Linked DNA regions of Caenorhabditis elegans. The protein of the gene in region 1 purifies or fractionates together with the protein of each later gene. This does not show direct contact. Each region holds a gene or a part of one and is shown on either strand. Other genes may lie near its edges. The genes, in order: lin-59 and asic-2.

Region 1 (5,232 bases):
TTGTTTGGTGGAGGTCCTTCGCTGAAAAAAATGTAGTTGTGATACTGATCCCTAGTTTCTAAAATTAATTCCATCTCACATTAGTTTGTGAAGTCAAGCTTGAAATTATAGTTTACGCATGGCTCAATCTAATTATGACGCTGTTCTTGAGACTATATTTAGCAAAAATTTCAAGCAATATTATGAAAATTTGTTTCACATCAGAGAAGCCAATTAAAGCTCCAAATCGAGGAAAAAATATAACAATCAGAAAGTGGGATGCTGACACGATAAACGCATTGGTCTCAAAATAAGTTTTACAAAACTGTTGCAATATATCCACAGTAATCCTACAATAATTCTACAAACTGGGAAGTTTGCCTACCTAGATTATCAAAACTTTCAAGAACCAACCTTGTACAAGGAACATCATAACAATCATCATCCTCATCTACTGGTTTCAACAGTGGCATATCTGTGAAATCAGCTGGACCATCATCGTCTTCTTCATCGTCATGATCACCTATATCCACATCATTCATCATTGCATAGCTCGGACTTGGCGGAGACGTCGGAACACTTTGAATTCCCGAATCAGGAGTTGCAGACGACGTTGTTGCTGGTGCATTACTTGACATCGGAACTGTACCGGACGGCTGATTCATGTACCAATTTTGATTGGACTGCATGTTGAGCACGGGCGGTGTTGTGCCAATTGGAAAGAGATTGGCTTTGACAACCTGAAGAGTATAGAGTTTCAAAATGAATTGAGAAGAGGGGTTAGAGATGGAAGAGGTGCTGTGGTGTTGCCTAGGTAATAATTCCCTAGGGATTTGCTTCGCTTGATAAAAAAGAAAGACATTTATTACATCGCATGGCTTGTTGTTATCATATGTGTATGCTTTAGTTTCAAAATGAATTCAAACAAAAGAAACTCATAAACACCTAACTTAAACAATTACTGATAAGAATGAAAAGATTAAAAAATAATATTATAACTCACCGCATGTGTACTCCCGTTTACCACGATCCTCTGCCCAGTCCACGGCGTCCCGTCGGCTTGTGAGAACACCAGAGTCCCTGCGGGCTCCAAAATGTTGTCACCGATTTTGATGGAATTTCCGATGCGAAGAATGTTCCCCTGCTGACGGTGACCACCACTTCCACCACTACTATTGCTACCGCCCGACGAGGAAGTTGATGCTGCTGCTGAGGTGGTGGTGGGGGTGCACATCAGCGTCGCCTGGATCGGATGCATCTGGTGCATCTGTCGAGCACCCTGCTGTTGGTATTGGTGAGAAGACGTCGATGGATGATGGTGTTGCTGGAATCAGGATATTAATCTAGAGCTGGGGTTAGGATTATCTAAAAATGCTCCTAAATCCGAAGATCCAGGAGCAAGTGGAAAAGTATGATGTTCTGATTCAAAGTGATGGTACAATTAATCTACTGATTAATCTATTGAAAACAGTTTTTCGTTGCAAGACCCAAATTTCCAGTTTAGATCTGAATTTCCACTAATCAAAGGAGATCAGTCTAGAACGATCAATCCTAAATTTTGAACTTGTCTTATGAAGTTGGATCAGGTTTGAGGAAAGGTATGCGCAATGCATGAAAGGTTACTAGATTAAAATCAAAAAGTTCCAAATATGTACTTGTTTCGTTCTTTTCACCCAATTTGTCGGAATAAATTTCAAAACATTGCGAGTCGAAAAATATAGATGAAAACTGTGTCGCGATGGCCGAATGAAAGATAAAGATCGAGAACGAGGAGGACAGATTAGAGTGCAGATTAGTATCCAGAAAATGGGGAAAAAAGAAGAAAGAGTTGCATTTATAGAATTCGGTTTTTTTTAATGTCAACTAGGGATTACTGGATGTATAGTTGGGTGATATTTAGAAGAGGATCACGAGTTGCAGGAATCTATTTTTGAAATGAGGATTTGTGACTTAGTTTTGAAATCCATTTGGTTGCTAAGCAAATGGAATTTCAAAAGCGTCATTGGGGATTATTATGCACTTAAAAACAACTTAAAACTTAAAAATAAAAGGCTAGACTTTCAAAAATTATTTGAAATTTTGGTAGAGTTCAAGCTACTGAGTTTTTCAGATCTGGCTTTAGAGATGACCTACGCCTACCGTACACGGAAAAGTAAAACTAGGTTGTGTTAGTGGTGTTACGTCTGTCTGCCTGTGCCTATTGTAAAAACTTGACTCTTCAAATTTTGTTTGAAAATGAGTTTCTTCTGGGAATTAAAATAAAAGGTGCATCAGTTTTAAAATGTCTTGTAATGCTCAAAACTATGATAATTAGAACAGTTAATTTTTGACTGGAAATTAAAAAAAAAACTAGAGTTGATACAAGTTTCCGTTAATAGTAGCAACCCACCTAACAAGGAACATATCAATTTTCAGAGGGCTCTTCCAAAAAGTTATTCTACATGTCAAGCTCTTTAAAACAAGTTCAAAACTTCAAAATTCGATAACCACAACCCATTGCTCAAATGATCAAAAGATATAATAACCTAGCTTACCGTATTTTTTTAATAGTATTGGATCACACTGCTGAATTTTTAAAAGCTATATCTCGGTTCATTTAGAAGATATCAATTATTAATTAATTACAAACAAAAGAGAATTAACTAATAAATATTTTGTCAGTTGACAGTTTTTAAATAGAGCAAATGGCAACTGAGATATGAGCTGTTAAAGTTGGTGCAATATAAAAAGTTGGTAATATAAAAATTCCAAACCAATTTTCGATTATTATGCAACCTTGCCATTTCAAACTTTTCACAAAGTTTGCATGGTTGTTGCCCTATAATTTGGGTTTGTTTTCATGCACATTAAAGGTCAAATTCGTGTTGGAGCTCAATTAACAAAACGAGGTATAGAATTAGAAAGGATTTTTGAACTTTAAAAAGCTGTATGACAACATCACGAGACTTGGTGTTATTGTTTATGTCTCGCCGAGGCAATGAATTGAATGATGATGGAAAAATGAGGGTGGGGGAATACATGGAAAATGATTTCGAAATTTCTGAGAGTTCTTGCTTAACCGATGACGTCATTTGCAAGGGTGTTTTGCCACCCATCTTAATTCGTCATGTCGAGTAAGGAGGAGATAGGAATAGGAAAAAGAATGTAAACTGATAAAACCAACCTCATCACTTCGAGCATTATATCTGTAACGTTGCTGCTGCTCGCCGGCCCCGTGCATTCTCGGCGGCTCTCACTTTGTTACTTGACCATTTCGTGCGACCCTTTTGCAGGTCGACCTTGTTTCAGTTTTTTTAATAACTTGGGCTTTTTGAGCGCTAAAAATTCGAATTATTAATCTAATTAATTAGGAGAGGGGTAATTAAGGTAATGAGTATGTATGATAATGAGATTAAGTATATGCAAACATCAAAGAAAGTGATGACGAAATTGCAATGATGAGTACTACTATTACTAATAAGTATAAAGAAAAGGAAAAAAGAGTTGAATGGAAATGATTGGGTGTTTTTTATGAGATGAGGAGGGGATGAGAAGGCACAAGCTTCTTTTCAAGGAAACCCACAAAAAGACGGATGTCAAGGGCCGCGATGGCGATGCGAAATGGTTAGAGTAGCGGTCCAATGAGGAGACGCAGCCGTGCTCGACAGTCACTCAGAAGGAGCGGGAACCCAGGCGGAGGGTGCTAGAGAGACAAGTCGGTGTCTTCCAATAGTAGTGAATATAATAACGATTAGAAGGCGAGGCGACGCGTTGCGGTCGTGCGTTGCGGTCGCCTGCTGGCTGGCTTTCGAAGCAATGCAGGGGGTAAAGAGAGGGGGGAGGGAAAGAATAAGAAAGACACCAGTCCGATGGATGGGGGCCTGTGTTTCACTTTGGTGTTATTTGTGTGTATGAGAGAGAGAGAGAGAGAAGCGAACAAGGGAGAGGTGCAGACAATTGGTTCTAATTCGAGACATGCTGCATGTAATGTCTTATAACGAGAGACGTAGTTGACAACAGGTTGCACACAAACTCGCTCTCTCTCAATCTCCTCACATTTGGCAATGAGCCAGTGTGGAGACAGACAACGGCGGCGCGGCTGCAATTTTTGCATCGTCGCGCGCCAAAGAAAGTCGAGAATCCCCGCTTCTCTCGCCTCTCGGTCTCCTCGTTTTATGATAACATTGTGTTGAGGAAGAAAACGAAGAATAAGTTTTTGAATGAATAGGGGGAATGGAAGGAAGGAAGGGGAGTTCATTCGAATGGGAACCAAGGGTGGCCACTAGATATATTACTAAATCCTGAGAATGCGTATTGAACAACATATTTGACGCGCAAAATATCTCGTGGCGAAAAGTACAGTAATTTACGGGCTCGATTTTCGAAAATGTTTTCTTTTCGAAATTTTTATTCGCTTTTCTTAATTGTAAATAACTTCAATTCATGTTCGCTGTCAAAGTTCGAAAATAAAACATTTTCGAAAATCGAGCCCGTAAATCGACACGAACACTACAGAAGTCACTTAAAGAATGACTGTAGTTTTTGCTACGAGATATTTTGCGCGTCAAATATGTTGTTCCATACGCATTCTTAAGATTTGGCGTCCCCGTAATAATTGAAACTTGCGCGTTAAATGTGATGCATTGCGTCGAGGAACCGCACAGTTCGGTATGCATCTTCAACTCTCATATTTGAAAGTAAAACTGTAGAGATTGTTCAAATTATTTCAAAAAAAAAAAATTTGATTTTGGAAATTAATAAGAAAGTTCAAAAAGTATCTTTGCCAAAACTCCAGAGGTTTCTATTCTTTGTAGTATACGCAAGTTTATTGTTTCAAACTTTCAGTGCTTACCTCTAACCTGTTTGCCTACATTCCCGCCTACGGCATTTTCTTGTGCTTTGGCGGTAGGCATGAGTAAAGGCACGTGGTAGGCAGGCCTCCATGCCTATCACACTTACCACGCGTTTAACTTGAAGGACATTTCAAATAATTTTGGTATTTTTGGTATTTGTCAATTTTTAAGATAATGGTTCATTCTACAGGAAATACTTATTGAACTTTTGGAAATTTCAGAATATTCCAAAAGTGAGCTCAGCACACCTGCAGCTTATCCAGCCACAATTATCGTATACTCCACACGGAAAAGAACAATTATCAATTTTTTTGAATTTTAAACTTGATAAACCGGGTTAAAATGGCCTAGTTCTGCAATTTTTTTAATAAAAGATTGTTCCGATTGAATTTTAAAAACAATCTATAATAAATGAATACTT
Region 2 (5,811 bases), 3.8 Mb from region 1:
CATTTTTCAAACTATTCAGTGACACATCGGCAAACTTTTGAAAAATTTGATTTCTTGAGAAATTTCAAACATCTTGCATTTAAAGCTCTGTTTGAATTAATAACAGTTAAAAGATAATTAAAATTTAATACTCGTATCAAAAAAAGTTATTTGGTCAACTTCCAAAATTGTGACCTCAGTACTGTCGTTTCTCCAAATTTAAAATTTCAAACCAAAATAATCTCGAAAAAAAAGTGAGACCAAATTCCGAGAAACTTTTATGAAAAGCAATGAAAAGAGCAACCACGTCAAACTGCCACAACTGACTATTCGTTTCTGTGGACGCATTGAGTGGGAGAGGCGATCGCAAATTTTTCTCCTTCTGCCTTTTTATTATTCAAACGTTTTGCAGAAAATGCGAAAAAAAGAGAGCGGAGGAATAAAGCATGCAAATATTCGGAAATTTGAAAATTCAAAAACCAAAACTCAACTCAGAAAAGTGTTTACTATTAAGTTATGAGCTGAATTTGAAAAACGGTTGAAATTTGGGTTTTATTTGACAGTCTTCGGATAGGGAGAAGCTTTGAATTTTCATGTATATTCTTACTATTGCAAGCGACAAAGTTGAAAGTATTCACACTAACCGCTCACTTACAAAACCAAGAAGAAATCCCAACAACTGGTAAGATTTTCGTTTGCATACTTTTGAAAGTTGTCCTTGAATATCGAACACGAACGGGCAGTTTGAGCGGGAAAAAAGATGCAAACTAACGAAAACAAGCAGAGAAAAACAGCGTTCTCCATATAGCATTCATCCATTATTTGTTCCTTTATTATAAATAGTCAGTTAATTAGATTAAAAATATTCAATTTTTAGATAGTTCGGTTTTTGTTCGATTGATTTGAATTTTTTAAAGCAAATGAAGATGTTACTAAAATTTAAATTATAGGAAAACTGCCATAATATCGATAAACCCATACAAATATAGAAAAAGGCACAACAGAGACAAAGGAATAAAATGGAATGCCCTTCCAAAAACGTTCGATCGAAACGAAAAACCGGGGCAGAACAAAGTGGCCAAATGACGGAAATATTTGTATGTGGTTGTGTGTGTGTGCAAAATGGAGGAAATTGAAGGTTCGCTTGTTGGTTGGGACATGTGATACAACACAGACTAAGGACATTTATTTATAAGATTCAGATGAATAGAGAATAAGAAATGAGGAGAGTAGAAGAGAAATGAAGATGAAAAGAGTAATGTTTGATTGAGAGAAGAGAGGAGCAATCAATGTGACACACCAACACCTCATTAAATCATTTCTGAACGATTTGAAACCACCCGGAATCTTTTTAAGTAAATATGTGGAATTATGTCATATTATAAAAACTTTAAGTTTGAGCCAAGGAACACTGTGTTTTCTTGAAAACTTTAAAATTGGAAAATTATGGCGGGTCTTAGGCATGTAGGAAAGAGATCCTGAAATTCGGACCTACTAGCAGAGTAGCATCAGTGGGGATTTTCCAAAAATGTATTCAAAATGGTTCAAAAGACTAAACTATCTAAATAATAAGTCGAAACGGTTTACAAAAGTTGTGTGTGCACATCTTTGACCAATGTCTAGCATTTTTGTAATATGTATTATACAATTTGAATATGCTTCCATTTTACGAGTTATCTTCGAGTTGCTAAAATTGGATATATTTATTTTAATTGTATACTCCATTATGTGCAAAATTCGCCCAGCAATTTTTTTTCAATTCTCAGCTTTCCATTTGAAAAAGAGCAAACATTGTTGTCTTTTTGTTTCAAACAAAAGAACATCTCATTTGAAATTTCTTTGGTATCCATGGGCACCTCATTTTCTGGAACAGAAACACACAACAAATCATTTACTTGCCCAAGATGCGCGGTGGCGGTTTTGTGCAGATTTTTAAGGATTTTTCCAATTGGTCTACTGTAGCAGTTGTACCACACGTGGCAAATGCAAATAATAAGGTAGGTCAATAAACAAGAATTGCAAGAGATAGAGAATTAGACAGTCAAGAAGCATTGTGAAATGACGTCATTCCCCTTTCGGAATGATGTCATAAAAATAGAAAAGATAAGAATGTGTCAAGAATATGGATATTTTTAGATTGGGGCATGTAAATTTGAATCCATAAATACCACATTTTTAATGAGAAAAACAAAGAATAGATTGGGAATAAATAAAATCTTGCAATAGTTTCAGATTTCTCGTATTTTCTGGATTGCCATATTTTTATTTGTTCTGGGAATGTTCGCATATGAACTTTACATTTTAATCGCAAAGTTCTTTTCGTATCCTGCCACTGTCAACACAGAAATTCTTTTCGAGAAACAGGTATCTTTTTGGTTATATAAAACTACGAGGATTTTATTTTGATCTGGAAATTGTAAAAGTTTGTTACGTTATTACTGGCAAATTGGAACTGAATATGAATTTAGAAAATAAGTCTACAAGCAAGTTTATCCAGATATTTCCCGTCGTTACCGTGTGCAACATGAATCCTTACAAATACAGTGTTGTAAAATCGAACAGTGCATTTTCAAGTGTTAATACTCTGATGACAACATATTCTGATGCTACTGTTGGAACATTTTCAACTGATAAATGGGGTCTCTATGTTAGTTTGTGAAACAATCTCGCATTTAGAGTAGCTCATCTATTTTAGGCTGATAACGATGAAACCTACGATTTGGATTCTCGAGCAGCAGATGCTCTTGTATTGGAAGCAAATTTGATAAGTGATACGGCAAAAGTTCCTGCTTTATACACTTACGCGGATTTGATTCAAGATTGTAGTTTTGCGGGTATTCCTTGCTCGGAGTAAGTTGAAAATATATTTCGATTTGGGTTAGGTCACATAGTTTTTGGTTCAAAAAACTCAAACATTGTAACTGACAGGCAATAAACTAATTCTTAAAATACAAAAAATAATTTTAGATCAGATTTCACAAAGTTCATTGATCCAGTGTATGGAGCATGCTACTCATTTAACGAAGATGCGTCACTCAATTATTCTGTTAGTAGAGAAGGTATTCAATTTGGATTAAAATTGATGCTTACGGTCACGGTAAGTACTTTTTTAACAACTTTTGAGCATTTCAATACATCTTAGCAAACAAAAACAAATGGGAATACCGATTCGTTGCCAACAACTAAACTAGCGGGTGCCCGGATTGGAGTAAACTCACGTGGGAGTAGTCCAGGACTAGATTCAAATGGAATCGATGCAGGAGTTGGATATGAAAGTGCTGTTTCTGTTAGCTTGGTGAGATTATAGATAGCTTTCAAAATTCATACGTACACCTTTAGACTCAAAACGTTCGAGCAAAGAAACCATATGGAACATGTGTGGATCGAGAACCGGATAGCTCGGATTATTACAAGGTTTGGATTATTTTCTAGTAATTTCTACACAAAATAAAATAAGAAAGAAATCTTCACTGAATTTTGATTACAACGAGTTTGTATTTATTTATTTGTTAGTATCGGATTTTTCATAACTTCAGTCGCTTAAAAATGGAAAATTGCCAGGAAGGGTTTTGTGTAATTATTTATATAATACATGATCATTTATAACAAGATCAATTATTTAAACACTCCAAAAATATTTTAAGATCAAAATTGCCGAGTTTTCGAAAAATTGTAACTTGTGAGTAGTTTTAGAGCACTCTCACAGGTTCGAAGGCTGCAATATTTGAATACAAGTCACTGAAACATAAAAGCCTCACTTTTGACTTTTGAAAACATCATAAAATTTTACAAATTCTAGGATTTCATTTACACACTGGAGACATGTTTCAATGGATGCAAACAAAGAGACACTATTGCAAAATGCCAATGCGCAAATCCGAGATTAGCTCTCGGATCCACAGATACAGCATGTCAGCCAATAAAAGCAGATTGTATGGTTCACCTTTTTTGTGATTACGACCAATTCAATTAATTTTCAGTGGACTGCCTCCAAACATTGAAAGGAAATCAAACAAGTTCCACTCCGAATATTGATTTATTAGTTGAATGCAATTGTAATCCTCCCTGTGATGAATCAACCTACACACCAACAGTATCTCTTGCTCAATTTCCATCCACTAGTTATTACGTCGCAACTTCGTCTACTGCTGGGGTACGTTCACGTTAAAGAGTCTCGAGCAAGAACGTATTTTTCAAGTTTATATTTTTTAAAGTCTATATTCCTATCATTGAAGGTTGGAAGCTGCTCTTCAACAAACTCGAAGTTTTCAAGCAAATCAGATTGTCAGAAATGGTACAACAATAATGGAATGATTATACAAGTGTTTTTGGAAACGCTCAGCTACGAGCTATACACTGAAACTGCAGGATATACGGTAAGCGGGAAATAAGATTCTAGTCCATATAATTAAGTTTACAAAATACTATCATATTTTCAGGTTAGCAACGTTATTAATGACTTGGGAGGACAAGCCGGTTTGTGGCTTGGACTATCCGTTATTTCTGTTGTTGAGGTTTATATTTTCTTTTTTACTCTACGAAAAATGCCTTAAAGTTTCAGATGACAGGTTTAATGTTAGTCATGGGTGCGTTCTGTGTAACTGGTGGAGCTATCAAAATGGCTCCAGACGATGATGAAATTGAAAATGATCACAGAATCAAGGTACATTCTATAATTTTTGCGAATAATTATTAGCATTAAAAAGAACTTGGACCAGGGCTGAAGATGTTCCGTTGACTTTTCTCGAAAAAAAATTGCCGAAAACACGATAACTTTTGCTTACATGTTTTAGGCAAAAAATTTTTTTTGGATTCTGTCATTATTTGGATTGTGAATAGATAAACAAGTATTTATAATTTCAAAAATCTAGAAAAATTAAGTTTTGAAATTCACATTCACACTTTTCAAAATTAGAAGCCGACTCGAAATTATTGAGATTTAATTAATATTTATTACTGTTTTTCAAAACCTCAAAAACAAATATTGAAAATTTCATACTACCAGAAACGAATTGAACAAAGTGAGTAAATTCCAGGACGTGGAAGATGTGAAAAAGGAAATCGATCATTTGGAGAAAAAACACGGAGAAATGGAGAGCGGCAGCGATGGGGAAGTTGACGATATCGAGAATAAAGGAGATGAGGAGAAAAAGAAGAAATAAATTAGCATTTGGTTGTCAAGAATATGTTCATTTGAACTATACTACAATAAGTCTACACTTGTTGAGAATATAAAAGACTGATGACAGAAATGAATACATTTGATACAGTTTGATACAGTTTGAGTAACTGTTTCGATGAAATAATTTTCAAAAAACTCTGAATAACTTTAAAGTAAAAGTAGATATTTGAAACCTAAATCTAAAACTAAGAATAAGCTCTCAAATAGGAGTACCCATTATGTGCCTGTTAAAGAAAAAATATATTTATTCTAGCTGTTGGTATTTTTTATTTATATTAGGTAAAACTAAAATTTTGCTCTATGAAATATTCGTGAGAATTCGTTTTCTGAATGAATTTTGAATATTATTTTGCAAATTTTTCAAAAAACGTACTCAGCACTCACATGAAAGACAGTTTGGACAAGAAATAAATTGAATCTGAAGCCGATTAAAAACAAAAACTTTCTGCAGGAGAACACTTTAGCAAAATATATAAGTGTTGCATTGAAATTCCAACGTATTTAGTTATGAAGTCATTAAATTGGCTATCCAAAGAGGAAAATAATGTCGGTTCTAGTAAGACTTAATCTTGTGTTTTCGTTTATATGACCTATTTTGGAAGTCTGCATCAATTTGATCCTAATCAAAAACTTATTTTGCAATTAAGAAA

What was found.
Region 2: the proteins of lin-59 (region 1) and asic-2 fractionate together in Caenorhabditis elegans (co-fractionation; one large-scale study listed by BioGRID). This does not show direct contact.

Annotation. Positions count from the first base shown.
Region 1 is NC_003279.8:3,717,862-3,723,093, forward strand, and holds the start of lin-59 (putative histone-lysine N-methyltransferase lin-59), read right to left. Parts: upstream 3,297-5,232; 5' UTR 3,200-3,296; coding exon 3,143-3,199; intron 1,304-3,142; coding exon 983-1,303; intron 720-982; coding exon 394-719; intron 22-393; coding exon 1-21. UniProt on the Caenorhabditis elegans protein: Probable histone methyltransferase. Essential protein required to maintain expression of homeotic genes egl-5 and mab-5. May play an analogous role to the trithorax Group (trxG) proteins.
Region 2 is NC_003279.8:7,478,252-7,484,062, forward strand, and holds asic-2 (Degenerin-like protein asic-2), read left to right. Parts: upstream 1-1,856; 5' UTR 1,857-1,883; coding exon 1,884-1,976; intron 1,977-2,211; coding exon 2,212-2,343; intron 2,344-2,476; coding exon 2,477-2,626; intron 2,627-2,674; coding exon 2,675-2,829; intron 2,830-2,946; coding exon 2,947-3,076; intron 3,077-3,121; coding exon 3,122-3,274; intron 3,275-3,318; coding exon 3,319-3,393; intron 3,394-3,778; coding exon 3,779-3,911; intron 3,912-3,959; coding exon 3,960-4,132; intron 4,133-4,214; coding exon 4,215-4,355; intron 4,356-4,418; coding exon 4,419-4,493; intron 4,494-4,540; coding exon 4,541-4,642; intron 4,643-5,015; coding exon 5,016-5,141; 3' UTR 5,142-5,254; downstream 5,255-5,811. UniProt on the Caenorhabditis elegans protein: Could form pH-gated heterotrimeric sodium channels that act as postsynaptic excitatory sensors in the nervous system, generating rapid, transient inward currents that fully desensitize upon extracellular acidification.